7 linked regions of the Macaca fascicularis genome follow. The protein of the gene in region 5 interacts with the protein of the main gene of each other region in a pairwise test. Links are inferred from orthologs where the notes say so. Each region holds a gene or a part of one and is shown on either strand. Other genes may lie near its edges. The genes, in order: PFDN1, PPFIA4, RGS2, ARHGEF7, GIT1, UPF0488 protein C8orf33 and HMOX2.

Evidence for each region.
Region 1: the proteins of GIT1 (region 5) and PFDN1 interact in binary tests that used the Homo sapiens proteins (3 or more experiments, as listed by UniProt). The link is inferred for Macaca fascicularis from reciprocal best matches to the Homo sapiens genes GIT1 and PFDN1.
Region 2: the proteins of GIT1 (region 5) and PPFIA4 interact in a two-hybrid assay, tested with the Homo sapiens proteins (2 studies listed by BioGRID). The link is inferred for Macaca fascicularis from reciprocal best matches to the Homo sapiens genes GIT1 and PPFIA4.
Region 3: the proteins of GIT1 (region 5) and RGS2 interact in a two-hybrid assay, tested with the Homo sapiens proteins (2 studies listed by BioGRID and IntAct). The link is inferred for Macaca fascicularis from reciprocal best matches to the Homo sapiens genes GIT1 and RGS2.
Region 4: the proteins of GIT1 (region 5) and ARHGEF7 interact in binary tests that used the Homo sapiens proteins (3 or more experiments, as listed by UniProt). The link is inferred for Macaca fascicularis from reciprocal best matches to the Homo sapiens genes GIT1 and ARHGEF7.
Region 6: the proteins of GIT1 (region 5) and UPF0488 protein C8orf33 interact in a two-hybrid assay, tested with the Homo sapiens proteins (2 studies listed by BioGRID and IntAct). The link is inferred for Macaca fascicularis from reciprocal best matches to the Homo sapiens genes GIT1 and C8orf33.
Region 7: the proteins of GIT1 (region 5) and HMOX2 interact in a two-hybrid assay, tested with the Homo sapiens proteins (2 studies listed by BioGRID and IntAct). The link is inferred for Macaca fascicularis from reciprocal best matches to the Homo sapiens genes GIT1 and HMOX2.

The regions. Positions count from the first base shown.
Region 1 is NC_088380.1:146,792,533-146,796,579, reverse strand, and holds the start of PFDN1 (prefoldin subunit 1), read left to right. Parts: upstream 1-1,247; 5' UTR 1,248-1,258; coding exon 1,259-1,291; intron 1,292-4,032; coding exon 4,033-4,047. UniProt on the Homo sapiens protein: Binds specifically to cytosolic chaperonin (c-CPN) and transfers target proteins to it. Binds to nascent polypeptide chain and promotes folding in an environment in which there are many competing pathways for nonnative proteins.
Region 2 is NC_088375.1:60,837,525-60,841,670, reverse strand, and holds the start of PPFIA4 (liprin-alpha-4), read right to left. Parts: upstream 2,801-4,146; 5' UTR 2,662-2,800; intron 1-2,661. UniProt on the Homo sapiens protein: May regulate the disassembly of focal adhesions. May localize receptor-like tyrosine phosphatases type 2A at specific sites on the plasma membrane, possibly regulating their interaction with the extracellular environment and their association with substrates.
Region 3 is NC_088375.1:50,401,426-50,405,383, reverse strand, and holds the start of RGS2 (regulator of G-protein signaling 2), read right to left. Parts: upstream 2,801-3,958; 5' UTR 2,767-2,800; coding exon 2,657-2,766; intron 1,664-2,656; coding exon 1,562-1,663; intron 1,460-1,561; coding exon 1,398-1,459; intron 832-1,397; coding exon 665-831; intron 411-664; coding exon 216-410; 3' UTR 1-215. UniProt on the Homo sapiens protein: Regulates G protein-coupled receptor signaling cascades. Inhibits signal transduction by increasing the GTPase activity of G protein alpha subunits, thereby driving them into their inactive GDP-bound form.
Region 4 is NC_088391.1:101,803,508-101,807,007, forward strand, and holds part of ARHGEF7 (rho guanine nucleotide exchange factor 7), read left to right. Parts: coding exon 1-78; intron 79-2,498; coding exon 2,499-2,723; intron 2,724-3,352; exon of another isoform or gene 3,353-3,475; intron 3,476-3,500. UniProt on the Homo sapiens protein: Acts as a RAC1 guanine nucleotide exchange factor (GEF) and can induce membrane ruffling. Functions in cell migration, attachment and cell spreading. Promotes targeting of RAC1 to focal adhesions. May function as a positive regulator of apoptosis.
Region 5 is NC_088390.1:35,093,513-35,097,619, reverse strand, and holds the start of GIT1 (ARF GTPase-activating protein GIT1), read left to right. Parts: upstream 1-1,307; 5' UTR 1,308-1,556; coding exon 1,557-1,608; intron 1,609-4,107. UniProt on the Homo sapiens protein: GTPase-activating protein for ADP ribosylation factor family members, including ARF1.
Region 6 is NC_088382.1:154,739,316-154,743,097, forward strand, and holds UPF0488 protein C8orf33, read left to right. Parts: upstream 1-1,129; 5' UTR 1,130-1,152; coding exon 1,153-1,158; intron 1,159-1,246; coding exon 1,247-1,558; intron 1,559-1,724; coding exon 1,725-1,809; exon of another isoform or gene 1,810-1,879; intron 1,880-1,958; coding exon 1,959-2,105; intron 2,106-2,676; coding exon 2,677-2,816; 3' UTR 2,817-3,282; downstream 3,283-3,782.
Region 7 is NC_088394.1:5,289,478-5,293,736, forward strand, and holds the start of HMOX2 (heme oxygenase 2), read left to right. Parts: upstream 1-1,459; 5' UTR 1,460-1,554; intron 1,555-4,259.

The sequences.
Region 1 (4,047 bases), on a different chromosome or scaffold from region 5:
CCTGTCTCTACGAAAAATCCAAAAATTAGCTGGGTGTGGGTGGCGCGTGCCTGCAGTCCCAGCTACTCAGGAGGCTGAGGTGGGAGGATTGCTTGAGCACGGGAGGTAGAGGCTGGAGTGAGCGGCGATTGCACCACCGCACTCTAGCCTGGGTGACAAAGCAAGATCCTGTCTCAAAAAACAAACAAACAAGCAAACGTACCAAAAAACAAAACAAAAAACCAAAACCACAAAATATCCAAGTGACTTGCTCAAAGTCACACAATTAGTAAATGGAACCAGACATAAGCTAAAGGTGGACCAAGCCTTGAATCTGGATCAGGCTGGTTCCAAATTCCCTGCCCTTTCATCTCCCTAACAGTTTGTTTTGTTTCTCTCTCTTTCTCTTTCTTTTTCTTTCTTTCTTTCACTCTCTTTTTAAAAAAAAAATAAAATAAATTTCCTAATTGTTTATGTAGCACTTTCTCTTAGCATAACAGTTTTTAGAGTAGGTAAACATTTCTTTTTTTCCATTTCCAAAAGTCAATTATTATCTATTCTTCTGGTTCAAATGCCAGGTCCTTTTATGGCAGAGATTCTCAAAAAAGTGATCCGCAGAGGAGTTGCACCATTAGCTCACTGGGAGAGTTTGCAAAAGTGCAAATTTCCAGACCCCATTCTCAAAGATTCTGAGTAAGTTTGAGATGAGACCCAGAGAACCTGCATTTTTTTTTTTTTTAAACAAACGTATTCAGCCTCTCTTTTGAACCACTGTGCCTAGAAAGTCTTTGGGAAGCTTTTGGAAGTAGTAAGTTCGTCTTGGAAAGAACACTCCAGACAAGCTTTCCGGTAGTCTTTCCCAAACTGTCATGCCTGAGGTTCTGGACTTATTCTTACTGATCCCTGACAGCACAGCGACTAGCTGAAGGATTCTGATCGACTGATGAGGGTTTGACCTCATCTACATACATCCCAGTTTAGCAGCATATACTAAGCTAGCTGGCAAACTGCTTAAAGCCACATGGGAAATCTGCGCGTTGGGCTATGTCTGGAAGATGTGGAGGAGCAAGCCAGACCTGACCGGTCAGATAGTGGAGACACTGAATCCGAAACCCAAATATTTCAGGGGTTAATCAATTCTCATAGAAAGGTAGGAAGCCCGGTTAGTCCAACTCATGCGCAGGCGCAGAAGAAGGACGGATGCACAAAGTGAGGCGCGCCCTTCCCCCACCCTCTTTCAGGCCAACTCCCACTGCGCAGGCGCATACAGTGCACCAACATGGCTGCCCCCGTGGATCTTGAGTTGAAGAAGGTAAAGGAGGGTCTTGGGCAGGCGGAGGCCTTCTCTTTGGAGGCTGAGGGGACTATAGGCAAGAATATCGAGTGAGGCACGAGCCTTGCATAAGGCAGGAGGGTCCAGTGGACTAGGGAATGGTTTTCCAGAGTCCTAAGGCCGCACTGCGTCTCCGTAAACTGGGGTGGGGGGCGAGCGGCTCTTGCTGGGTAGGAGCCGGTTTGGGTGAGGTAAGTCTGCGGGCCTATCTCGGGCCTGTGCAGTCTTTCTGAGCTCTAGAGAGCTTTCGTTGCGTTTGGAGGCTTCAGGGACTCACTTTCATAGTAAGAACCAAAGAGAGCATTTCAAATGGGGGTGCCTTCGGACCCCTTGCCTGAGTTGTGGCATCCGTAATTCTGCCTCATTTGCTTTGAAAAACTCCAAGTCCAACCTTTGTTTTTAGGCCGTTTATTCGGTTCTATACCTTGAAAGGTTGCGGTATCTACAGTTCGGAAAACCAGGCATTGTAACAGCAATGTTCATTTCAAGATTTGGGCCCTCCCCTTCTTTTTAAGGACTTGTCAAAAAAAACAAACAAACAAACAAACAAAACAAAACCTTCTTTTGAAGGACTTGTCAAAAAAACAACAAAACCAGTAAAGTTTTCCAAATAAAACCGGTATCAGAAGGAATTGGGTTTCCTGCTTTCCTCAGTTGCTTATAATGTGTTGTTACTCATATTTTTGCTGTCTAAGAATGATCAGCATTCTAACACCACTAATGACCCCAAACCAGTATGCTTTGTGCGGTGGGGTGGATTGGAAAGGACTCTAGAATTTATCTATTTTAAATCTACTTTTCTAGAAAAGGAACCAGTGCTAGAAGAGTCTGTCAGAGGTTGGGACTAGAATCCAGTATTCTCTGTCTTACCTCACACCTTTTTTGTTTTTTTTTTTTTTTTTTGAGACAGAGTCTCGCTAGTGGCGCAGGCTGGAGTGCAGTGGCGCGATCTCGGCTCACTGCAAGCTCCGCCTCCCGGGTTCATGCCATTCTCCTGCTTCAGCCTCCAGAGTAGCTGGGACTACAGGCGCCCGCCACCTCGCCCGGCTAATTTTTTGTATTTTTGGTAGAGACGGGGTTTCACCGTGTTAGCCAGGATGGTCTCGATCTCCTGACCTCGTGATCTGCCCGCCTCGGCTTCCCAAAGTGTTGGGATTACAGGCGTAAGCCACCGCGCCCGGCTACCTCACACTTTTTTGACCACTATTTTGGATTCTTCAGATGAGCAACATCTTAGTTAAGACTGTCTCTCTGGTCAACTTGTGCAAAAGAAATAGGACAGCCGAAATAGCTGTTGCTTCTAACAAATGAAGCTTTTGTTATGGTTCTGAGGATATTATGTGTTTGTGTCTTGCTTTTGTTCTTGTCTTGAATCTTGTAAATTTAGCTCTTAGGTGGAATTCCCTCATCTTTAACGGTGTACTAGCTCATCTTTAACGGTATACTAGCTTCCTTAGCAAGCTGTACAGAGCAGTCAGATAATACCTGAAATTTTACATTTCAAAACAAAATTGTGCATTCTAAAAATTTACCTTTTTTTAAATTAAAAGTACCGATTTAAATCAGGATTTAGTGAATGGATTTTCCTCCTGGTACTTTTGAATTTGTTGCTACATTTGAAAAATGTGGACAGTGAATGCAAACTAAGAAAATGATTACAAACTTAAACTGAATAATTTTGACAAATGATTAATTTAAAAACTTGTTTAAAGGTTTTATCTTCTAATGTTGTTACAGGGTCCGTTTTTTGGGTGGAGACAAATAGGACATTTCAGGCCCCTCCCCTTCTCCAAAGTAAATCTTTCAAAATCTTACTAGTAGGTGAAAACAAGGTCACAATAAAAATTATGTAGTAACCTTTGCTGTACATTGCAGTCACAAATTATTAAGGCACCAATTTGACAGCATATGAAAGTCATTCCAGGCACTTCAACAAGAGTATCCAAGAACTGTTTATTTTCCAGTTAACTAAGTGTACGCAAGGGTCAAATTTGGCCTGATGCAATTATTTTGCCAGTGCTTTGCATTTTTTCTATCTTTTTGGTCTTCCTCTTAAAAATGTTCATATTATGAATATTACTATAGACAGTGGAATGGAAAGATTGCTAAACTAAGGGGTTAGAAGAAATGTCTTTAAATACACCTCCCTTTCCCTCTAATAGTTGTTCAAACTTGTGCAAGCCACTTTTATCTCTTAACTCATTTAGTTACTTAATTTGTAAATTGTGGATGATGAAACTGCCAATGCTAACTCATGGCATTATTGAGAGGCATAAATTAGATATTATATTTCCTCATTAATATTCTTATATTAATATTCCCATATTAATATTTCAAACTAATGTGAGAAAGTGCTTTGAAACCTAATTGTGCAATACAAATGTAGTGAGTTATTACTTTTATGGTTCTTGTTTTGAATCTCTGGGTTTCATCCTTGACTATTGCGTTTATTTCTTTTACTACTCCTTGAATACTTCTTAATATGGTTATTATTTAATGTGCATTTGTTTTGCTTCACACTGTTTGTATCTTCTGATGATTGTAAATTCAGTATTTAGTATAGTGACTTGATCGTTTACAATTATGTTGACTTATTGATATTTGGTAAATTTCACAACTTTGTCTCTGGCTAGCATGTTTTGTTTTAATATATTTGGATTTGACATAAATGTTTCCTGTAAAATGTTTAACCTACTAAATCATGGACTTGTTTTTATTAGGCCTTCACAGAGCTT
Region 2 (4,146 bases), on a different chromosome or scaffold from region 5:
GGGGATGGAGATACCTGAAGGAGGCCCTGAGGTTGCAGCACCCGAGCCTCTCTGAAAGCAGAGCAATGAGCTGGGCAGCAATCGTGCTTCTTGTGCCAGCAGCCAGGCAACAAGCGGGGAGGCCTCAGGCTCAGCCCAGCCCTGGAGTCTCCTGCCATCCTCGCTTAGAGCTCCTTCCCCCACTGCTGTTTCCCCCACCAGCGCTGTCCCTGTGACATTCTCAGTTGCCTCAGGCCCCTCCCAGTACAGCAAATGCAGAGGGTCCCCTAGAAGCAGCCCCTTCCACAGTACATCGAGGACCTTGGTCCCTCTGAATCCTCCACTCTGCTGGCCACCCGAAGTGCCACGCTCCTGTGAGCCAGCACCGTATGCCCTCCAGAGCTAATTATAGGTCAGTGAGCTAGCAGGCCAGAGGGGGACAGATGGTGACTTCATGTGGCTGCAATACACACTTGTCCCTCCCTCTGACCCCACTCCCTCCCCTCCATTTCTCTCAATTCCCTATGTGGGACCCAGACTTTGAGGCAGTTTTCACTCCCTCAATCCTCCCTGCTCCCCACCACTTCTCCTCTCCAACACAAGCACAAGCACACACACTCACGCATGTGCACACACATGCACGTGTGCACATACACGCACACACACTCCTCCATACCACTCAATTGCCATGCCTTGTTTCTACAGCAACTCACCTATGGAGCCAACACAGTAGGGCCTAAAGCCCAGGGGAGAATGTCCTTGGCATTCGAAGGCCTCGGCTAGCCGCCCGTATCTTAAAACCCCCTTAGCACCCAGCTCCCTGGCCCTGCTGAGCCTTCATCCCCACCTCATCACCACCACAGCCTGACTACTCATTCTCTTGCCTAGCTCTAGCTCTGCCATCCTCGGAGGCTCCATGAGGAACTACAAGCCATCCCTGACAACTCTTTTCAACTCTTAAGATTTCAGCAATCAACTCAGAGACAAGACCCAGGAGCCTGGCTGCCTGCCATGCCCTGCCCCTCCAGCCCTCCTTTACAGCCCAGCAGCCAGACCTCATGCACTGCACAGTTCTGACATCATGACATGCTCAGCAGCACAAACCCCAACCCCACTGGATAAGAATTCCCTTCCACGCCCTCCTCCCCCACACTCTTCCATCTTCCAGAGATGGCGTCTCCCACAACGCAGAGTGTCTAGGACATTCTTGGCCCCCAATAACCATTTTGTCATTCACTATCTCCTTACTTGGAGATACCATTTATCCCAGGAAGCCTCCTCAAACCTCAGGACAAAATCTGAGAAAATAACCAAGGAAAATCATTCAAGCTGCCCTTTTGCTTAGGCAGCTTCCCTGGGACTACCTGGCCAGTTAATAGTGGTAGGGGGTGTGTAGGCTACAGTCTAGTTCAGACAGCTGCTTGAAAGTACGTGGACACAGTTCTTCCTTTTCCTAATCCAACAGTAATGTAACAGAATGGGGGTGGGGGGTGAGGGAGGTGTTAACAGAATACCTACTATGTGTGCCTACTATGTGTACCTTTCAGCTGCTCCGTGGCTGTAAATTGCCTTCAGAAGACCTAGCACCGAGCATAGTATCCGGCAGATAGTAGGTGTCCAATAAATGTTTGCTGGATGTTGAACAAAGTACTAGGTACCAGATCCAACAACTCTGGAAAGGACTATGGGAAATCCCCGGAACCTGGCTCCTGGAGAGGACCCTTAAGCGCACACCAGGAGGGGATCTCCCTGCTAAGCAAAGGCTCCTTAACCACTTGCTCTCCACACAGAACGGCCTCAACTCTTCCGCTCCTCTGACGGAAACTACCAGCACACCTCTCCTCAAAGGTGACATCAGCGCCTAGTGGCACCTTGTCCTGGATCCCTCTTCCTTCTCAAAAAAAAACCACCTACACCATGTCTCCAAGTCCTCCAACCCGACCTCTCTCTTCCCACCCACCATCAAAACCTCAAAATCTGTGCTAGAAAACATCCCTACTGCGTGGACGTAAGTCAGCACCCCACTCCCACCCTCCAGTTCAGGCACCTCTATTCCAGCCCTCTTTTCCTGTTGCGCCCACCCCTGTCGCCACCCCCACCAGGCCTCGGGTTGGCCGCTCCTTCCACCCCACCGCCCTGGCACTGCGGAGATGGGGGCATCTCTGGCACAGACTGAGGCTGGCAGTTCGAGGAATGGAGAGCTAGCAACAGGAACAGGGGTGCTATGAGGAACGCGGGAAGGATTAAGACCCCCGCGAAGAGCGAAGACCTCAGCTCCTCAGAAGCGCGTCCCCAAAGGAGTGGGGTTAGCCTTGGAGCCGAGAGGCGCTTTTTCTGACTCTCCTGGAGGGGAAATGGGAGCGCAGTCTGCTCCGTTCCCACCGGGAGACTCGCCAACTCGGCCCCCTCCCCCGAAGCCGATGGAGCAGAGGGCGCACCCCACACCCTCCCCGCAGATCGGGCATCGCCCCCATCTTCACCCCCAAGGGCACAGGGCACCGCAAAGGCTGGCGAGGGGCGGCGGGGGGGAGCCGTACCGACGCCTGCCGGAGACAGCACATGGGGAGTCAAAAAGGGCTGTTTCCTGAGGCACGATAGACGAGACCCCTCCCCAAACTGTCGAGGGGAGTTGGAGGTGGGGAAAAGACGCATCCTACCCCAGTCCAAGCTCTGGGCGCTCACCTGCCTGCAAATGCCGAAGGCCAGGCAGCTAGGCTCGGAGGCAGCAGGGAGCCGCCCCCGACCGGTGCAGACCGACACGTCCTAGAACCGAGCCGGCGCCGAGGTAGCTGCAACCTCCGCCGCCCAAGCGCCCGGCCGCGAAGCCCCGCCCCCTTCCTCCGTGGACAACCCCCCAGGCTCCGCCCCCTGGGCGGGGCCGGGATGCCGCGCCCGAGGCCACGCCTCCCGCCCCCAAGCGCCTCCGGTCCCGGCACGTGACAAGAGCGCCGCTTTGAGGCTGCGCGCCATCTTGGTTCAGCCTCGGAGGTGGCAAAGTGCCAGGGTTTTACCCTGCAGGAGGGTCTCAGGTCACAGGAGTGCTGCCAACATTCTGCCCCCTCCCTCTGAACTCGCCCCTGTTCCGAGTCTAACAGCCTGTTCCCTAAATTGGCCTTAGTCTCGGCCTTGTAATTGTTGTCAATAGTTTGCCACCTTTCACACTTGCTCTCTCCTGCCCATTACTTGCTTTTCTTTTGATCGCACCCGTTTTTTAAGTGGGGAAACTTGATATCCAGATACTACATCTGTAGTATGCAGTTCAGTGAATTGTGTCGCTTGCCTTCAGGCACCTGGCTGTTCTAACACTGTTACTACAAAATGGTTTGTCTATTACATATACATAGTATGAAAACAAGTCTCAAATGCCAGAATTACTGACTGACAAATTTTAGCTAAGCCTCTCCATTTTCCTGAATTGCTCCCTTACCCTGCCCCCTGTGGCTATTAATGCATCTTTTCCATCTGCTTTGTGAAGTTTCATCACAGTGTGCCTACTCAATCCTTTACCAATACCCAGTAAGCACCACTAAAAGTGTGAACAATTTCTATATACATGCAATGTGTTCACGTGTATGTATTTATAGACATATACACAGCATGTTCTGTATCAGCAGCAAATGCCATAGCTGAGATCAATGACACATACAACCTTCTCTCATTTAACTTCCACCCTATATATTCACCATTTGGCATAATTTCCTTGCGTCTCTTTGAAGACAGGGAAATCTGGGTAATTCTGATCTGAGGGGTGGTAAGTGAAGCTAAATTGGTGACTTTGAACAACACAGCCTTCAACTGCATAGGGCCACTTACATGCAGATTTTCTTCCTTCCCCGCCACCCCTGAGACAGCAAGACTACCCCTCCTCTTCTTACTCGTCAGCCTGCTCAACATGATGACCCACTTAATGAACAGTAAAGATATTTTCTCTTATGATTTTCTTCATAACATTTTTTTCTCTAGCTTATTTTATTGTAATAAGGTATATACTACATATACAAAATACACATTAATCAACTGTTTGTGTTATCAATAAGGCTTCCAGTCAACAGCAGGCTACTGAGTTTTGGGGCAGTCAAAAGTTATAGCAGATTTTCAACTGTGTGAGAGGGTCTGCATCCATAACTCTCACAGTGTTCAAGGGTCAATTTATGTTGCTTGACTGAC
Region 3 (3,958 bases), on a different chromosome or scaffold from region 5:
TGCGTTCTGTACACAGTGAGAGAAGCTGTTCTGATACCAGCTTCTCCTAGTCAGTTACTGGCTTCCTGATTCACTACCCAGCTTTGAATCAATAGTTCTGAGCGATGTTTCCTGAACACCCAGGCTGAATTCAAGGTCAGTCTTTATGGCAGGTCAGTCTTTCCCCTTAGGAAAAAGAATGAAATGTCCTCCATTTCTGGGCTCCCTTTTACATTTCATGTAGCATGAGGCTCTGTGGTGATTTGAGGCTTTTTACACAAGTCCTGGTAGAATTCTGACTCCAAGAAACGGGGATAAGAGTTGTTCTCCATCAAGCTGTATACCCTTTTCTGGGCAGTTGTGAAGCAGCCACTTGTAGCTTCTTGTATATTCTGGGCAATCAGAGTTTTGGTTTGAAAATCTATGTTTATCTGAAATAAAACAAAAAAGTTGTTTATTTGGTGTTCAGAGTTAAAGATTAAAATTTAGTATTTGAAAACAAAAAATAAAAATTATGTGTGATTAGCTTTACTACCTAAGTCACAGAAGAACTTTAACATAACTGAAAGCTACAACGTGGGGGGACTTTTTACCCCTCCTTCTGGCCCCACTTTGCCCTTATTTTGTTTCACTTTTGTGCTAAAAATGTCCAGATTGTGCTCAGTTTAGGAACTTGTTTCCTTACCTCTTTTGGAGCTTCCTTTTCTATAAAATCAGTATATATTTTCCTTGCTTTTGAGGACAATTTTTGGGGTGATTTGGTTTTTTTGAAGTCTTCACAGGCCAGCCAGAATTCAATATTTTCTTCACAGAATTCCGACTTTAAAAAAGCCCTGAATGCAGCAAGACCATCTGAAGGGGGGAGAAAAGAAAGCATGCAGAATGTGAAGAACCGAGTGACCAAATGATTCTTTATGTTTCTCCTAGTACTTCTCCCTCACATTTTAATTATTTCTAAATGACAGCAATTTTCTAGATTTCGCTTAAACCTGTAATTCTCAAAATTTAGCTTTTTAAAGACGAAGATACCAGTAGGCAAAATGCTTATGTTGGCCCTCTGCTGCAAAAATATAAGTACTTTGCTGTCAATGCAAAGTAAATATTTATAGGGGAGACATAAATTCTCTGGGAACTAAGCCTCTTGAAAACATTGTATGCAATGGAAAAACTGACTCAACCTTAACTATAAGCAACTGCCACTTTAATTTTTTTAGGCTGATTTTCTTCCCCACCTGGAGGAAATACATGCATTTATTTCCATGGTTAAACCCTGGGAAATAAAGGAGAGAAAAACAGGCTTTATCCAATAGTGACTGCAGTCTAATCCCCCTCAGGCAAGCTGCTCTTTTGTTGTGTGGACCCAGCCTTTGCAGGCTTTTGCAATATTAGCAATGGCTAAAGTTCAAGAGTTAACTTACATTTGCTAGCTAGCAGCTCGTCAAATGCTTCTGACCACAGCTGTGCTTCCTCAGGAGAAGGTCTGCAAGAGAGGTTCTGCATGTTAGCTTATGCACATCAGAGTTCCCCTTTTCAGTTCAGCAACTAACTATTAACATTTGCAAGTACAGGATTCTCAACTTACTTGATGAAAGCTTGTTGTTTGCTTTTTTTGCCGGTTTTGGGTTTCCCAGGAGTAGAGGAATTTTGCAAGAAGTAGCTCAAACGGGTCTTCCAATCTTTTAAACTAAAACAAACAAAAAAATTTAAAAAAGATAATCACTAAGTAGCAACACTTGAATATGCTACTGCAGCTGAACGCATTTTTACCAAATAAAGTCACCCAGTAACTAGAGACAAACCGCATAAGGCAAAGCAAGAACTCTTCAAATAACAGTCTTATCCACTTAACATTTAAACCTCATGTACTGAGCAGTTTCATCCATTAAACTGATCGTATCTACTAGTTTTACAACTAAGGGCAGGGCTACCTACAATCACTAGGGTATTTTAAAGAATTGTTAATGAATTTAGTTCAAAAGGCAGATATTATTTCTGGCTTACAAAGGGCATCAGTTTGTTTGCAAGGTTAATTACAATTCCGAGGGGTTTTACAATTTAATGAAAAGGACAGACGTGGAACTGTCTGGAGCCGGCCCACGCTTCTCTCTTTAGAGCAAGAGGTTCTGGAGCATGCCAGAGACAGTGTACAAGGAGGTGGGTGACTGATTCCCCTGCGCTCTTCCTTCCCCACCTACAACACTTCTTTTAAGCAGACGCTGCAGAACAATTATTTGTTCCACATTCATGACTGGATGAGATCTGCTCTATAATTAAAAAACAAAAGTGGATTTTAAACGAGTATATTCACAACCAGCAAGAGCATCTCCTTCCAGGAGCTGTGTAAGCTGATGAGAACTCATCATGCAACGTATGCATGCTGGGGACGCGCTTCAGCCGCAGGATTCTGATGTCATTTTGAATGCAGGAGGACAAAAAGCCAACCCGCAATTTCTTAGCGCATCCACCACCGCCCTCATATCAACTATCTCCCTCGGTTCCTAAACTCTACCCGAGCATCACCCAGATTTAACCTTAACAAACTGACCTTTTCGATTTTTTTTTTCCCCTGCAGAGGCTCGGGCTAGTTTCCTAACATCAAAGCCGAGCCCAAAGTACCGCGTTTGCAGCTCGCAGTGTGTGGCAGGGGTGGCGGGAGAGGGAAGAAAGCCATACTCACAGGGTCCGTTTCATCTTTTCCCGCTTCTCCTCGCTCTTGTGGCCGCTGCCAGCGCTAGTGTCCATAGGTCTGCAGTCGTGTTGAACAGCCAAGAACATAGCACTTTGCATTATCGTCCTTCCGCTGGGGCCGCGGCTGTTGGCTGCTGGGCGTGCGTCGCAGCTTTTATAAGAAGCCGCGACTTGGGGGCGGGGCTTCGCGGCTCCGGCCCCGCCTCAAGAGGACGCGGATTGGTTGGTTGCAAACGGGCACTGGGATGGGGGTCAGCGCCCGCCAGCGGCAGTCTCGGTTAACGCCGAAGGGTCTGGAAGCCAGGGCGCTGCTGACGTCTGCGGCCCGGGCTTCTTGCGCACTCGGACTACATAGCAGCGGCCAGCTGGGGCCGGCGTGCGAGCAGACAGGGACTTTTCAGTGTGGGCTGTTGCCCACGACCTTTTGCTGAAGCGTGGCGGCCAGGCGGGGGCTTGCGGCGGAGGGAGAGAGCCGAAGTTGGCTGCGGCCTGGCGGAGGCTACGTCGCTCCCTCACCCACCCACCCTGACGGGCTCCCCAGCCCCAGGCCAGAGCGGCGATTCCCTGGCAGGAGGAGGTCGCCCGCCGCGAGGCCGGAGTTCAGTGGCCTGATTTTGAATGAAGAGTGGGATTTTTCTTCTTTTTTTGAGCGCGTTCCCTGACCCCGCGCCTCATTTCTTGTTTGCTGTCCTACTGTAGGGACTCATTCGACACACCCTGGTCAATGAACTGAGGCTACGGGAAGACCCTCCCCCGTTTCTCTCTGCCACTTAATTTAAGGAAGGTGTAACCTGAAACGTTGACTGCCCGGGGGCAGGGTGGGACCTGCTCTGCAGCTTGCTGGGGCGTCTTGAAACACGTTGGGAATGAACATTAGGGATTGAACAAGAGAAGGTGACTTTATCAGAAGACAGTGCTTTAATTGGATTTGCATTTTTGATCACTACTAGGCAAGTGGCTGGGTCTGTCTATAGGGTCATTCCTCAGGAGCCCTTGGTCACATCTGCCAAAATGGAAATCACAAGTTTCCTTATGGTGGGAGAGAAAGCTGGAGACACAGATATTTCAGAGCTGTAATGCACTAGAATCATGAGTTCAAGGAGTCAGGATTTCCTCATGAGTCATTCTTGTTTTGAGTTAGGATTTACCAGAACTTTTAATAACTGGCAAAAAGTAGGGGGAAGGAGGAGTTAACAGTTTCCTTCATTAAGTTTTTTGTTAATTCTTCAAGTATCATCTCTACTCCTGAAGGTTTTAAAACGACTTGATTGGTAAAAACAAATAGATTACC
Region 4 (3,500 bases), on a different chromosome or scaffold from region 5:
GACCACCTACAGAAGCAAACGAAGGTCACATCTGTGGGAAACCCCACCATAAAGCCTCATTCGGTGCCGTCTCATACCGTAAGGACCTGGCGCTTCTTCTCCTTCCAGACTCCAGGCGTGGCATCCCGTGGCTGAGCTGTCAGCAAGTGATCACGTGCTTTAAAACCTGATCAATATTGGGATAAAAATGCAAACGCTTGCTTGATATTTCTCTGAAAATATTTGGCCCTCTTTGTGCAGTAGTGAATTGTTTTCCAATGAGTGTTCTCGAGAAACAACCCTGAATTGTGCCTCCTCACGCACAATTCAGAGGTGCTTGGGTGGGAAGCTGCTTTTGCTCAGCGTGGCCTTAGAAGACTAATTTAGGGGAGTTTTACACTAAACTATAGATGATTTTTCTGAGAATTTTAACTGTTTATTATGCTTCATTTAAGAAAACGAAAATAAATGATTATGATGATGAAAAGGGCCAGATTCATGTTGAAGGCATTAAAATAGAGTTTATGACACACTGTTGATTTTAAGAAATTGAGGTGTCTTTTACTTAGAAAAGCTCAGCAACTCTTTGAATTTTTAGAGAATTACAACTTTTCAAAATAGATGAACACTGAATTCGGTTGCAGTGTTTAAACCTCTCCTGGTGTTTTTTGCTCAAGAAGTTGGTATCGGGTTGTTTTAACAGTCGTCATCTTTATCAAGTAATACCGAAAAACTGGGCAGAGCTTTTAAAGAATGAGTGGCGATGACACGGCATTTTCAGCTTGCAGATTCCCTCACATCCTTACTAGGTTATTAGGATCAGTTCTGTCGTGTGCTCAGTTTTCATGTTTTCTTCTTCATGGGAAGGTTGTAGATCAAGAAGGATTGCTGTATTCTGATATTCTCATCAGTTTCAGAGTCCATCTGATTTCTCTCAGCAGTGTGCAGATAACTACTCATTGGCTTTTAGCTAGCATTTCATCTTTAATGGCTCTGCCGTTTTAAAATTCTCCATTCTTTCGTGGAGATCAGTTTATCCCAGCGACATGTGTACACGTGTGTTTATAAAGAACAGTGGATGAGCTGCTTCACTCAGATTTTCAACAGCAGCCTGAAACTCTACTTCATACAATTTTACATCAAGTCAGCTTTTCTCTGCGGCCAGACCCTCCGTCTTAGTGTTTCTTTCACTGGTGGCGGGGAAGGCACTGTGCCTCATGTTTAAAATGTTCTGCGTTCTCCTACAGAGTTTCTTTTGTGGGATGATGTATTCTCCTGTGATCTAACTCTGTCCAACTGAAGTCATATTCTAATTTTAGCATAAAGCATACTTCCTTTGACTTTCTCAAGAAAGGAGAAACAAAACCAGACACTACTTAACTCTGACGTTGTTGCTAGGAGGGATGTCTTACATAATTTTCTCCATCTATACATTATTTCCTATGAAAAGATGACGTTACGGTGGCTTCATAGCATGACCTGTATCTCACACGATTCCCTCCCCCATGCAGGGACTAGAATGTGATCATTGCAGAAAGTTGATGGCGTCTGTTCTTGAAATTGTGGCATTAGCTGCTGTGGGGCCTTCCCTCTCAGCCTGTTTTGAAGGTCGTGTACTTCAGAATGCCGACCCCACTCAGGTTTCCAGTTCACAGCGCCACACAGCTTGTTCTCCCATTAAACGCGCCTTACTATTGTTGGCTAATTTGAAGTCATTGTTGGCTGATTTTGAGACTTACTTAACTTTTCTCATTTAACTGTCATTGTGATGGGATATTTCGGGTTTCCCAGGAATATAAAATTCATTAATGACATACCTCCTCTAAGAAGTTAATTTTCAATTAACTTTGTTTTGATTAAAGTTGAGTTTTCTAAGAAAATAACTGATTTTATACCAGGGTTTGGCAGTGTTCTAGAAAGAGCCAGATGGTAAACATTCTCTGCTTTACAGGCTCAGGCCTCTTGCAGCTGTACTCTGCCCTTGTAACACAGCAGCAGCTTTAGACAGGCACGGGCCTGCTTGTGTGCCAGGAAAACTTTTTTAAAAAACAAAACTAGGCGATTGGGCCTTAGTTTCACCCAGTACTTCATCACCAGGTGAAGAATAATACGTGACCGGGGGGAATCACCTTCCTTCTTACAGCCACATGCCCTGTGTGCTTTTGTGAAATTCTCATCTTTTTACTAGATAAAGTACCTTTTTTTCTGTTAATGTTACTCCGTAGCTAATAAATGTGGCTAGTGGATGTCCGAGTGCTGGGGCGCCAGCTAGAGCTGCCCCTCCCGTCTGGGGCAGACACCGTGGGGGGGTCCCATGCTCAGCCCAGGTGGCGCGAGCTGGTGCTTGGCCCCAAAAACTACTGAGAGCCAGAGATTCGAACGAAATGATAAATGATAAATCCTGGGGTTTATTTCACATGGAGTGTTTAAAGAGCGGAAGGAAGTGCGTGATAGTGCCCTTTCACGGTGAGCATGCAAGTCTCACGTTCTCTGCCCTTCCCGCTCTGTGCCCTCGGCAGCTGCCCTCCCACCCGGTCACTCCGTCCAGCAAGCACGCAGACAGCAAGCCCGCGCCGCTGACGCCCGCCTACCACACGCTCCCCCACCCCTCCCACCACGGCACCCCGCACACCACCATCAACTGGGGACCCCTGGAGCCTCCGAAAACACCCAAGCCCTGGAGCCTGAGCTGCCTGCGGCCCGCGCCTCCCCTCCGGCCCTCCGCTGCCCTCTGCTACAAGGAGGTGAGGTCCCTTGACCACTCAAACAGCCAGACGCCGGTGAGCATGCCTTGGGCCCCGAGTGTGCCGGGCTGGTCCCTCTGTACGCAGCAAAATGCACCCTAACTGCTAGAGAACTGAGAAGGGGTCTGCCTTGGTTCTTCGGTTATCTCCGCTGCTGCTGAGAGGCCTGTGGTAACCCTGTGTGGGAAGGGGATGTGCAGATGTGCAGGGCCCCTCCTGTCTGTGCCATGCAGAGGGGGCCTTTACTGTGCTTGCCGGAGGAATGTGCCGCCGGGGGCCAGGAGCTGGAAAGGCGCCGAGCCCAGGTGACTTTCCCTCCCCGTGTGTGAGGCCGTCGCTCGGCGTCTGCATGCTGTCTGCTGCGTCTAACAACCCCTCCTCTAGGTCGGGGATCCTATCCAGGAGCCCTGCGTTTTGTCATCCAGAAGCCATTTGAAAGGAAGAGAACGTTTACCAATACAAATGAAAAAACACTTAGGCAGTTTCCCCCTTTGATGCATAAGAAATCATGATACAGTCTTTGCTTGTCTGTGTTTTGATCCAGCATTTTTGTATTTGCTAGGTGCAAATAAAGTACGATTCTAATGAATAAATATAAGTATTAACACTTTCTTATACTTTCCCCTAAGCCAGCTTGGATGAGGAAAGGAAGCGTCTTGAGAAATGTGTTCTGAGAAATATTTTCACCTGAGGAAGCCGATAATTGAGATGAGCGTTGTTTTCATAAGCAGTTGAGCGTGCATGGTGGTGAGGTACGAGGAGTGGCGGTGCGAGTAT
Region 5 (4,107 bases):
ATTTTTTTAAGGTGCAATTATAAATAAAGCCCATGGATCGCGATTTCAAACAAACTTGTCAATCCGGGCCGCAGCAAAAGGCGATGGAGGCAGCTTTGCATGTATTTCGGGTGGTGTGACTCATGAGAATTACTTGTCTCCCCTAGGGAAGGAGCCTGCCCACCCACAAGTCACTGCCGCTCTGGCACCGCTGGGATAAATCGACCAACTTGAGCACCCCTGCCAAAGGACTGCCCCCATCTGTTACCGAGCAGGAGTCTCTGACTTCGATAACCCCTCCTCAATTGTCACCACTGACCTGGCCCCCAGGTCTGGCCCTGGGGACCTCTGCCCTCTCCCCACAAGCAGAGTGCCCGGGCCTTTTGCTGCTGCAGGGATTGGGGGTTGGGTGCACGCGCGGCACACGTGTATGGGGGAGCATGCTCAGTGCGGGGGCTGTGCTCATGTGAGGCCTCCAACTAGGCTCCCTGCCCCCCAGCCCACCCACGTCCCTCACCTGCCTTGCCTTTGCCTGCCTCTTCGTGTGAAGTCCAGGAAGAAAGGCTGTCACCTGAAACGGCCCCTCTGTGTTATATGCACCCTTTCTGGACGCACACACCTCTGGTGGCCCAGAAACACCGTGTGTATAAGGCGGATGACAAGTGGATTTGAGTGCACACAGGCACAGTGGTCACTCCTTGGGAGGTCTTTAAAAACCGCCCAGATTCCTCTCTGGATGGAAGCATGCATGGAGAGATAGATATATTTTTAGTCCAGAGGCAGGGGAATACACTGCCTGACCTTTCTAGCACCTGGGCGTCCATATTGTTGGCAATGAGCGTATTCAGCAAGAGTGTGACACACGCACACACACCTGGACACACAGATGTGGACACCTACAGGACCGGGAGGCACACCTCACCCCAACCAGAGATAGAAGGGTACCCCAAGGCACAGCCCCTTTGACCTGGAGCGGGACTTGGGCCTCCAAGTCCTTCCTGCCTAATCCCCGCCCTCGCCATCCCTCGGCCCAGCGTCCCCCAGGCCACCCCACGCGGAAAGTGAAGGGGAGGGGGCTGTGAGGGTGACTCACATTGCCTCCGGGCCAGGCGAGCGCCGCAGCGGAGGCCAGGACCGCAGGCCCCGCTGCCCGCCGGGGCCGGGCATTAGCCGCGGCCCCTTTAAGCGCCCCCGCCCCCTCCCGCCCGCGCCCGGGCTTCCTTTCTCCAGGGGGCGCGGCCGGGAGCGCGCGGCGGGGCGGGGGTGCGGCCCCTCCCCTGGTGGGCAGGGCCTGCGCCGCTTCCTGCAGGAGCGGCCCGGAGCCGCGCAGGGGGCGGAGAGAGGAGTCGCGAGCGGCGGCGGGGCGGCGTGGGGCGGAGGGCGCCCGAGGGCGAGCGGGCAGGCGGGCACGGCGGGTTCCGGGCCAGCCCCGGGGCGGACGGTTGGCCGGGCGCGCGGAGCCTCGCCGGGGCCTCGCCGGAGCCGGGCCGGGCAGCAGGGGCCGCCGCCGCCGCCCGGGCCCGCCGCCCGCGCCCCCCACGCTGGCCCAGAGGGCTGCGGCCGCGTCGCCGCTGAGGATGTCCCGAAAGGGGCCGCGAGCGGAGGTGTGTGCGGACTGCAGCGCCCCGGGTAAGCGCGGCGGGGCCGGGGGCGGGACCGCACAGCCAGGCCGCCGCCGGGCGGGCGCCGGGGCCTGGCGAGAGCGCCGTGCGGGGCCGGAGGGCTGGGCTGGGCTGGGCTGGGCGGGGCGGGGGGCTGCGGCCTCCGGGCTCGGCCCCCGCCCCGGCCACTGCGGAGCCGCGTCCTTGGCGGGAGGGCTGTCCTGGGGGGCCCATGCTCCCTGGAGGCCGTGGACGAGCGAAGAAGGACGTTCCCGGCGCTGCCTCCCGCCCCTCGGTCTGAGGGAGGCGGGCAGCTGGCTGCCCCTCCACCTCCATCTCTATCCGACGGAAGCGCCAGCCTGGGGTGGCAGGAGGGCAGTGGCGGAGGCCGGCAGGGCTTGGGAGGTGGGGGCGAGTGTGGTTTTGTGTCATCTCAGTGCCACCCCCGCGTCTTGCACCTGCTGCTCGCGTGGTCGGCACGCCTGCCGGGGTGGTGGAGGGCAAGGAGCAGAGGGCCGGGCAGATGCGCCAGCGGGGCCTGGATACCGTCTCCTCAGGAGCAGATGAGCAGTGGCTACTCCCAGGACTCCCTGCCGCGGGTTCCTAAGGCTAGCGCTTTTTTGCGGGGCCTGGCGTTCAGGGCCAGTTCAGACCCGGGTGTCTTATCGGGAGGCATCACCAGGCCTGCTGGTGGTGACTGGGAACAGCTCGGCTGGACCCTGCTGTTCCTATTCACCGTAAGGCCCGCTTGGGAAAGTGAGCTTGGCATCAAGCTATCCTGGGCCCCGGCCCCTCCCTGTCCCCTAGCCCAGTCTGGCGAGAAATGGGTGGGAGGCACTGCCTAGATTCCCCGCATCCTGCTGGCTTCCTAGCCTGCCTCCTGGCTGTATTTACATGGTGGTTCTCTTCTTTTTCCTAACAGAGTCAGGACTGGGCTGGAGTGAAACCCCCCAGGCCTGCTGAGGAAGTCAGGGGTAATGATCCAAGAGTCTGCTCCCTTCTGATGGGGGAGGACAGCCAGTGACTGGGCTCTGCAGCTGGCCTGGGAGGGAAGCTCTAGCCCCCATCCATTCTTTCTTTAGAAAAGGAGCTATCTCCCTAGTAGGCCCCTGGGCAGGCTTCGGAGGTCTGTGAACTCTAGCGGGGCTGTGGGCATTATTAAGAGTGAGATTATGGGGTGCTGGTTTGTGGGTCCATAACTTTCAGCCACCCCTTGAGCAAGCCCAGGACCCCACAGGTTGAGCCTCACAGATGCTCTGGTGGTTCTGGGGGTGGTGCCAAGCTAGACTGTTTGGGAACTGTGACCCAGCAGGGCTTGGGCACAAGATACTCTCCTCCTTGGGGCTTTTGGTTTAGAGGGCCCTGGGGTTGAGGGTCCATACCCCTAAGAAACTATGACTCCCTTCCCCCAGCTGCAGGCAGGTCTGGGGATGGCAGGGCTGAGGACACACCTTGCCTTATAAATGTCTGCCCACTGTTCCGCACCTCCATGGGGTGAGCATGGCATGCATGTGGAGGAGAGGCTTAGCAGGCACCCTATCGGGGAAGCCTGGGGCATAGTGTTGCCTTTGTTCCCAGCTTACTCTGTAACCCCAAAAAGACTTTCCTCACTGTGGGGGCCTCAGTTTCCTTAATTAGGAGGCAAAGAAATTGGAGTAGAAATGGTTTCTGGGGGGGCTGTGATCTGATTCTGGGGTGGAGGGGTGAAGGGCAGCACCAGCAAGGCAGCAAGGCAGTTGTCCTTTCTCTGTTGCATTGAATGTCATCCAAAGCCTCTGGATGCCCAGTGGGCTCAGGGAGGAATGGTGGGCATCAGATGTGTTGGATTGCCCAGCTCCTACTCCCAGGTCCTCATCCGTCAGAGGAATTTGTGCCCCAGATGACTCTTTTCCCCTGATACACAATAGAGGTCAGGAAGGTGGTGAGAAGGTGAGGATGGTAGGGTGGGGAGGATATGGACAGTCTTACACATCAGCCCACCTAGCACCAGCGAAGTGTCCAGCACATGGCAGGCGCTCCCTGAGTGTCTGGCTTCTTGTCGGGACCCTGGCTGGCTGCTTGGGACTATCCCACACCTGGACCCTAGGATGCTGGCCCTGGCATGCAGCGACGTGTTTGGTCTGGGTCCTGTGGCATCTCAGGCAGAGAGGCATGAGGGTACCCAGCAGTCTGGAGTCCAGATCCAGTGCCAGCCCCATGGTGTATCGCTCCACCCCAGGGTCACAGCCTTCTTTTATTGTGATAGGAGCCCTGCAGTCCCAGCCACAGGAGTGGGGCCAGGGACTTTTTGTGCTTGGTTAATTTGGGGAGTCATGGAGGTCAGAGGTGAGATGCAGCCTGCTCCCAGAGAGCCCCATCCTCCCTCTGCTCCCGGGCCTGGGCACACGGGACAAGTGCGAGTGTGTTGGTAGGCAACTGGACATGGTGTGGCTGCTCTGGCAGCTTGTGCCACCTTGTCAGGCACCGTGTGCATTCCTGCCTGCCTGGGGAGTCCAAGAGAGGAAGGGGGCAGGGAGCCCTGGAGAAT
Region 6 (3,782 bases), on a different chromosome or scaffold from region 5:
TCCTGGCCTAGCCCGCTCCTGAAGCCTCACTCAGTCTCACCTCAGCCCCTACGCAATTCCTCTCAGTTGTCAGGCCTCCATCGGCGGGGGTCGAGTGTTGTGTGTGACCCCAGGTCTCCAGCAAGGTATAGTGGGAGGGAAGCATCCGGGAGAAGAGAGGTGGATTGGCCTCTCCCTCTCCCCCATACCGCCACCCTCCCTCACGCCCATATCCTGTCCAAGGCTCTTCCCGCGTCTGCTTCTGAAATCCCTCCACATCCCTCCACCCCATGTGCCCTACTCGTTGCACAGGAGCAGAGAGAACCGCAGAACACACGTCTACGATTATGCCACTCTTCAGATTTACATCTTGCAGCAACTTCCCACTGCGTTAGAACGGAAGTAAACCTCCCAACTCACAGACCTCACCCGAGCCCCCACGTCCCGCGTCGCCGGCCTCTCAACCGACGGTGCCCTGATCCTCTCGGAGCGAGCGCCGCGGGCTGCGCCGGGTCCCAGGCCTGCGCCTCTTCCCCATTTCCCAGGGGTCTTTGCCGACCACCCTCCTGCGCCACAGCTGCTCAAGTTCTGTTTACTTGCTTTTCCCTCCCCACCAAAAGGTGAGCCTTGAGAAGACACACCCTTGTGTAGAGCTTTGAACTTTTATCCGGAAAGGTGCCGGGCACATAGTCGGTGCCCGGGAGCACTTGCGAGACCGCCCTGCAGCCTCTTTCCGGATCCCCCAGGCACCCCCGACCCCGGCCTCGCCCCACCCTGCCCTCGCCCCAGCCCCGCCCTGCCCTCGCCCCAGCCCCCGCCCCAGCCCCGCCCCGACCCTGTCTCAGCTTCGCCTGGGCTTCATCCCGCCCCAGCCTCGCCCAGCCCCTCCTCTCCTCTCCCCGCCCGTCCCCTTCCCGCCCCCGCCCCGCCTCGCCTAGCCCCGCCCCAGCCCCGTCCCAGCTTCGCCTGAGCCAGGTCCCAGCCCCGTCCCACCTTCGCCGCGCCCCAGCTTCATCCCGCCCCAGCCTCGCCCCTTCCCCTCAGGGCCCCCGCGCCCCGCCCCGCCCCGCCCCGCCCGCGACCCTGCGGAACCTAGAGTCGCAGGCGCCCTCTTGGAGGACGGAATTCGACGTCGGACTCCGCCTCGCGTAGTTCCGGTGGCGACTGCGGAGCATGGCGGTGAGCGGTGTGGAGAAGACGCGCGGGTGGCTGGGCGTCGCACTGTCGGTGGCCCTCCGTGACCCTCGTGCTGCCCCCCTTTCTCCAGGCCCTAGGACATCTTGCCGGGGAGGCAGCGGCGGCCCCAGGCCCGGGTACTCCCTGCGCGTCCCGCAGACACCGGCTTCCCGGCCTGGTTTCCAGCGTCCGGAATCCCTCCACTGTCTGTCTCTGCCCAGGGCAACCCACGAGCAGTAACGCCGACCCCAGAGCGCACCCGTTAGGCGATGAAGGCAGTGCAGCGTCGAAAAAACAAAAGAATAAGAAGAAAACCCGGAACAGGGCCTCTGTGGCAAATGGAGGCGAGAAGGCCTCAGAGAAACCCGCCCCAGAAGAAGTGCCCCTAAGCGCTGAGGCCCAGGCAAGGGCGGGCGTCAGTCAGGAAGGGTGGAATCCCCTAGTGCGAATCCACGGGCACATGTGATCTGGGGTCCGCAGAGTTAAGGCGGGGAGGGGGATGGGATGGGGCCAGGCGCTGTTTTGTGTCCCAGTGCCCTCTCACAGCCACTTCCCCAAATCCGTCACAGGCGCAGCAGTTGGCCCAGGAATTGGCTTGGTGTGTGGAACAACTGGAGCTTGGCCTCAAGAGGCAGAAACCCACCCCAAAACAGAGTAAGGGACCTTTCTATAGAGTTGGGGAATGTGAAGAGTGGCACCGCCTGGCCTGCAGGTGCTGGCAGAGGTGAAGTTGTTTCCTTTGCGGTGGGGCGGTAGGAGGTCAGTAGTAGAGGTTTTCACTAGTCCTTTGTTTTTATTCGCAGAAGAGCAGGCTATTGGAGCAATCCGAACCCTGCGCAGCAAAAGAACGCCCCTGCCCCGGAAGAGGCAGTTGATGCACTCCTTGTTTGGAGACTATAGGGCTCAGATGGAAGCCGAATGGCGTGAGGCCCTGCGGGCTCTCAGATCTGGTGAGGAGCTAGTAACTGGTTGATTTAGGAAGGCCTAATTTAAGGAGGAAGTGCCTAGGGGGTGAAAGGAAGAAGGCCCAGAGCAACAAGGCTGGTGGGGGAAGGAGATGAGCTCAGGGAAGCCTGAGGGAACAGGGAAAGAGCAAGGATGGACCTGTCTCTCCTTTTCCCAGGACTGAACCTGGGAAGCAGCGGGGAGGTCATGGGAGGAGCGGGAAAGAGTGTGACCCTGTGTTGGTCCTGCTCCTGGCTTGGGGAAAGCTGCGTTATGTTTTTGTGTCTTGGCTCTCTCTACTGGCAACGAAGCCATATCCCATAACAGTTTGAGTGCAATTCCTGGAGCCAGATGAGCTAGGTTCAAATCCTGGATCTACCACATAGTAGTACTAACACCTTTTGCAAACTACTGAACCTCTCTAAATGGGCGGTGATAGTAATATCAACCTTACAAATTTGAGGAATTAGTTAATTTATTCAAAGTGGTTAGAATTGTATGGGCAAACATAACTGTACAGGTAATGTTAGCTGTTGTTATTCAGTTCTCACATACGCTGCTTCTCTCCCCTGACAGCTGCTTATTTAGCCCAGGTGCAGCCTGTAGATGGAGCCACCAGAAAGAAGAGCCGAAGGGTCTGCAGGCCTCGCCCTATAGGGCGAAGCAAAGCCACTCTGGACACTCCTGATGAAGAGTTTCGGTTCAATTTCTTTTAGCTTCTCCCCCGACCTGGAACATTCCCCCTCCCTTGGGGTGGTGTAGGGGTTTGTTTTGAGTGCAGAGCCTTTTCAGGACTTCTGTTGGCAGAGAACCCTGGGGTTGGTCTGTCCCTGGCTGGTCCAAGTATTTAGAGCTGTTGTGAAGGTGTGAGACCATCAGATAGGCAAAAGACCCCATTTGTTTTGTGATGAAATGTTCTCTCTTTCAGAACAGAGAGAGGTGCATTTAGAAAATATACAATAAATTGAAGTGACTGTTTGAAGTATTGTAGAAAGAATATTGTACTCAGTCTTTAGGATTAGATTAAGTGGCTGTTGGTAACAAAGATTAGTGGAGAAGCTATATAATTATACACTGTTTTTCACTTTTGAAAGGAATTCCTGTCAAATGGTTTAGTGCTTAATGCTGTTATGTCACATTGCCCTAGTCTTTATTTTTGATAAAATTGGATAACGAGTGAAAGAGTGTGCTGACCACCTGTGTTAGAGGAAGTACAGAAGACGGCAGGGGTCTGGTTCCCTGGGTCCAGTCCCTTGCCTCGATCCTTTGTCCATGTTGCCTTCATTCCTGAGCAGGTGTCATCCTCAGGGAACCAGCATGGCAGCCACCAGGCATGGCTGTCTTCTCAGGAGGAAGGAGCTTCTTGCCCTAACAGTTCTGGCCTGAGACCTGGATTGAGCCTCGGCATGTTGGAACCGAACTGTCGATTCCCTCCTGGGCAGGGGTTGCCGCGAAGGATTACCGACACGAGATTCACAGCAGAGAGTTATTTATTACTAGCGCGCTAGGGTCCCAAGCTCTAAGTTGGCCCTGGGACCCCGACTGCTTGTTACAGGTTGTTTATATAGGCAAACACAAGTTTAAACACAGCTTATGGCGTGAAATTTAAACAAAGCTTAAGGCACAAAATGATTGGGTCTACCTATGGCCTGAGCAAGGTGTTTTATGCTAATTGGTTAGAG
Region 7 (4,259 bases), on a different chromosome or scaffold from region 5:
ACCCCGTCTCTACTAAAAAAAATACAAAAAATTAGCCGGGCGTGGTGGCAGGCGCCTGTAATCCCAGCTACTCAGGAGGCTGAGGCAGGAGAATTGCTTGAACCGGGGAGGAGGCTGCAGTAAGCCAAGATTGCGCCATTGCACTCCAGCCTGGGCGACAGCCTGAGACTCCATCTCATAAAAAAAAAAAAAAAAAAAAAATACAGCAGTCAGCCATTGCGTCCTATCTGAGCTATGTATTCATATTCATATCTCTGGTGACTTTTTTTTTTGGAAAAGACATATCCTCACTCTGTTGCCCAGGCTGGAGTAAGGTGGCACCATCACAGCTCATTGCAGCCTAGGAACTTCTAGGCTCAAGCAGTCCTCCCACCTCAGCCTCCCAAGTGGCTGGGACTATAGGCACACACCACCACCTCAGACTGATGTTTACATTTTTTTGTAGAGACGGGGTCTTCCTATGTTGCCCAGGCTGGTCTTGTACTCCTGCACTCGAGCAATCCTCTTGCCTCTGCCTACCATAGTGCTGGGATTACAAAAAGTAAAAAATTCCCTGGCGTGGTGGTGCATGCCTTCAGTCCAAGTTACTTGGAAGGCTGAGGCAGGAGGATGGCTTGAGCACAGGAGTTCCTGGCTGCAGAGAACTCTGATTGCACCATTACACTCCAGCTTGGGCGACACAACCAGACCCTGTCTCAAAAAAAAAAAAAAAAAAAGTCCAGACATGGTGGTTCACGCCTGTAATCCCAGCACTTTGGGAGGCCAAGGCGGGTGGATCACCTGAGTTCAGGAGTTCAAGACCAGCCTGGCCAACATGGTGAAACCCCGTCTCTATTAAAAATACAAAAATTAGCCGGGCGTGGTGGCACGCGCCTGTAATCCCAGCTATTCGGGAGGTTGAGGAGGAGAATCGCTTGAACCCGGGGGAAAGGGGTTGCAATGAGCCGAGATCACGCCATTGCACTCCAGCCTGGGTGACAAGAGCAAAACTCCATCTCCAAAAAAAAAAAAAAAAATCATTCTGTCATTCTGGCTGCTGTTAGAAGAATGCCCATAATGCAACAGGGAGATCAGATACAAGACTGGTAACCGATGTGTCGGAGTTGAGACTCAGTTTCGCAGATTGCATTGGCAAGTGAGCAAGTGGGTGGTGCCACGATTGACAACCCTATTTCTTACATCACTGAGCGGATGTAAAAGGATTAAACCACACTGGGGAAGAAAAGTGCTCAGCCCTGAGGCACCCTCACACACCTCGGCTCTTGTGAACACTAGCGTTCCTGCCGAAGCACCCCTACTTACCCTGCTGAGCAGAGCCTGAGCCTGCAGCCTTCAGACACCTGGAGAAAGCCACATGCTCCGCCTCCCGCCCCCCGCAAGGGCGTGTCAGCTACAAGGGGCGTGTCCTCCCTAGGCCCCGCCCCGCGCTGCGTGCCAACGTTGCACCGGCCTTCGCGCCAGTCCGCTGGGCTGCGGGGACTGCGGCGCCTGAGGGAGTCGCTGACGGGCAAGCTGAGTGGAGGCTGGCTGACGGGCCACAGCGACCTGCGGCAGGTGAGCTGTCTGCGCCCTCCCGGGGCCTTCCTTCCGCCCGGCTCCTCGGACTGCGCCGCGTCCTTCGCGGGCACTGCCTCGGTGCAGGCCTTCGTACCTGGGCTCAACCAGGCCACAGCCCTCTGCGTCCCCGGCGCGGGTCTGAGGGGAGAGCGGGCAGGCCGGAAGCTGAGTGAGGCCGGGCAGAAGGACGAAGACGAGCGTGGAGGGGCTGTCAGGGGAGGGCGAAACCCCGGACGCCGCTCTCTAAAATCGTCTCCCCGGGGGCGCGGGGAGGCCTGAGCGGCTTGCTTTGGCGTCCCCGTTGGGCCCACCGCCTCCCAGCGTCACGGCCGTGCTGGGCGAGGTGACCCCCGGGGTCGTAGCTGGGGACGTCGGCGGTGCTGACAGGGGATGCCGGCAGAGATTGGAGCCCGGCTTAGCGGCTTCCCGGGCTATTGGCACTGGCCGGGTCTCTGCCCTTCCTCCAGTGCCCTTATCTCTATAGGAAGTGCCCCTTGAGTGGGTGTCGTGACTTCACGAGTGAACCCTGGTACAGCTTGGAGCAGAGTCGGACTGGGAGGGATCAAGTGTGGGGGTAGCCGGTTAGTCCGGACATGGGTTTACCTGTCACCTTCTGAGCGCAGTGCTCTGGGTGCATTAATTACCCTGCAGAAGCTGCCAGGACCTCCTTGCAGTCTTTGCACGAGGCCTGCCTGTGTCATGCCATTTAAATCGCGTCTGGGCCGGGGCGGTGGCTCACGCCTGTAATTCCAGCACTTTGGGAGGCCGGGCCTGGCGGATTGCTTGAGGTCAGGAGTCCGAGATCAGACTGGTCAACATGGTGAAACTCCGTCCCTACTAAAAATACAAAAATTAGCCTGAGGTGTTGGGGCATGCCTGTAATCCCAGCTACTCGGGAGGCTGAGGCAGGAATCCCTTGAACCTGGGAGGCAGAGCCTGGGCGACAGAGCGAGACTCCATCTCAAAAAAAGAAAAAAAAGCACTGCATAATACTTTCCACTGGAGGAAGCCCTCTCCTCTCAGCCCCTTGCAAAGCCTTGCGAGCTGATCATTTTTCCACGTGTAAAACGAGGTCAGTGTTAAGACTCAGCTTAGGCTGGGCAGGGTGGCTCACGCCTGTAATCCCAGCACTTTGGGAGGCCGATGTAGGCGGATCACCTGAGGTCAGGACTTAGAGACCAGCCTGGTCAACATGATGAAACCCCGTCTCTACTAAAAATACAAAGAATTAAATGGGCAGGGTGGCGCGTGCCTGTAATCCCAGCTACTGGGGAGGTTGATTTTGAAGGATCACTTGAGCCCAGGAAGTGGAGGTTGCAGTGAGCTGAGATCGCATCACTGCACTCCAGCTTGGGTGACAGAGTGAGACCCTGTCTCAAAAAAGAAAAAATAAATATCACAAGACAAAATTTGTGCTTACCAGGAGTTCACAGTTAAATAAGACATATAAAAGCTTACTTGGTAAAATTAGAAAAAGTTATCAGAGACAACATTTAGGTTTAAACGCTGGTGAGGGTGTGGGAATTTGTAGAGCCTTGGAAACACACACACTCATTGAATGACCTCATCTAAATGGGGATGTGAAGAGGGAAATCCTGTGATTCCTCCATTGTCTGACTTGATTTCCTTTTTTCCTTTGCTGTGGCAACATTTTGAAATGCTGTGAGTCACCAAAAGGGGGAACATGAGCAACTCTAGAAATGCCAGTGCCAATGAGTTACAGACAATAAAGCATTGACTGCCTTTAGCTCACCCCCATCAAATCTGTTGAAAACTTGTAAAATTGGACAGCTAGAGCTACTTTGATTTTTTGGTTTCCTTTTAACAGCTGACTCTCTTCACAGGACATTTGGGCTCTACATCAGGATTGCACCCAAAACTGGAATATCACTCCTCCAGGAGGGTGATATACTTTGAAAATTAGAATTGTGGGTCCAGCGCAGTGGCTCACGCCTGTAATCCCAGCACTTTGGGAGGCCGAGGTGGGTGGATCGCCTGAGGTCAGGAGATAGAGGCCAGCCTGACCAACATGGAGAAATCCTGTCTCTACTAAAAAAAAAAAAAAAAAAAAAAAAAATTAGCTGGGCATGGTGGCACGTGCCTATAATCTGAGCTACTTGAGAGGCTGAGGCAGGAGAATCACTTGAACCTGTGAGGCGGAGGTTGCGGTGAGCTGAGATCCGGCCACTGCACTCCAGCCTGGGCGACAGAGCGAGACTCTGTCTCAAAAAAAAAAAAAAAAAAAAAAATTAGAATTGTGTATTTCAGTGTAAAATTTGAAATTCAGCTTCTAAGTCCTTGGAGAGAAAACAGATTAAAAACTTGACCTAGACTGGGTGCGGTGGCTCACGCCTGTAATCCCAGCACTTTGGGAGACCGAGGCGGGTGGATCACCTGAAGTCAGGAGTTCGAGACCAGCCTGGCTAACATGTTGAAACCCCGTCTCCACTAAAAATACAAAAATTAGCCTTGCAATTTCGAGACCAGCCTGGCTAACATGGTGAAACCCTGTCTCTACTAAAAATACGAAAATTAGCCTTGCAAAAAGTAGCCTGTAATCCCAGCTACTCGGGAGACTGAGGAAGGAAAATTGCTTGCAGCCAGGAGGCAGAGGTTGCAGTGAGCTGAGATCGTGCCATTGCACTCCAGCCTGGGCGACGAGCGAAACTTCGTCTCAAAGAAAAAAAAAAATTATATTAGCG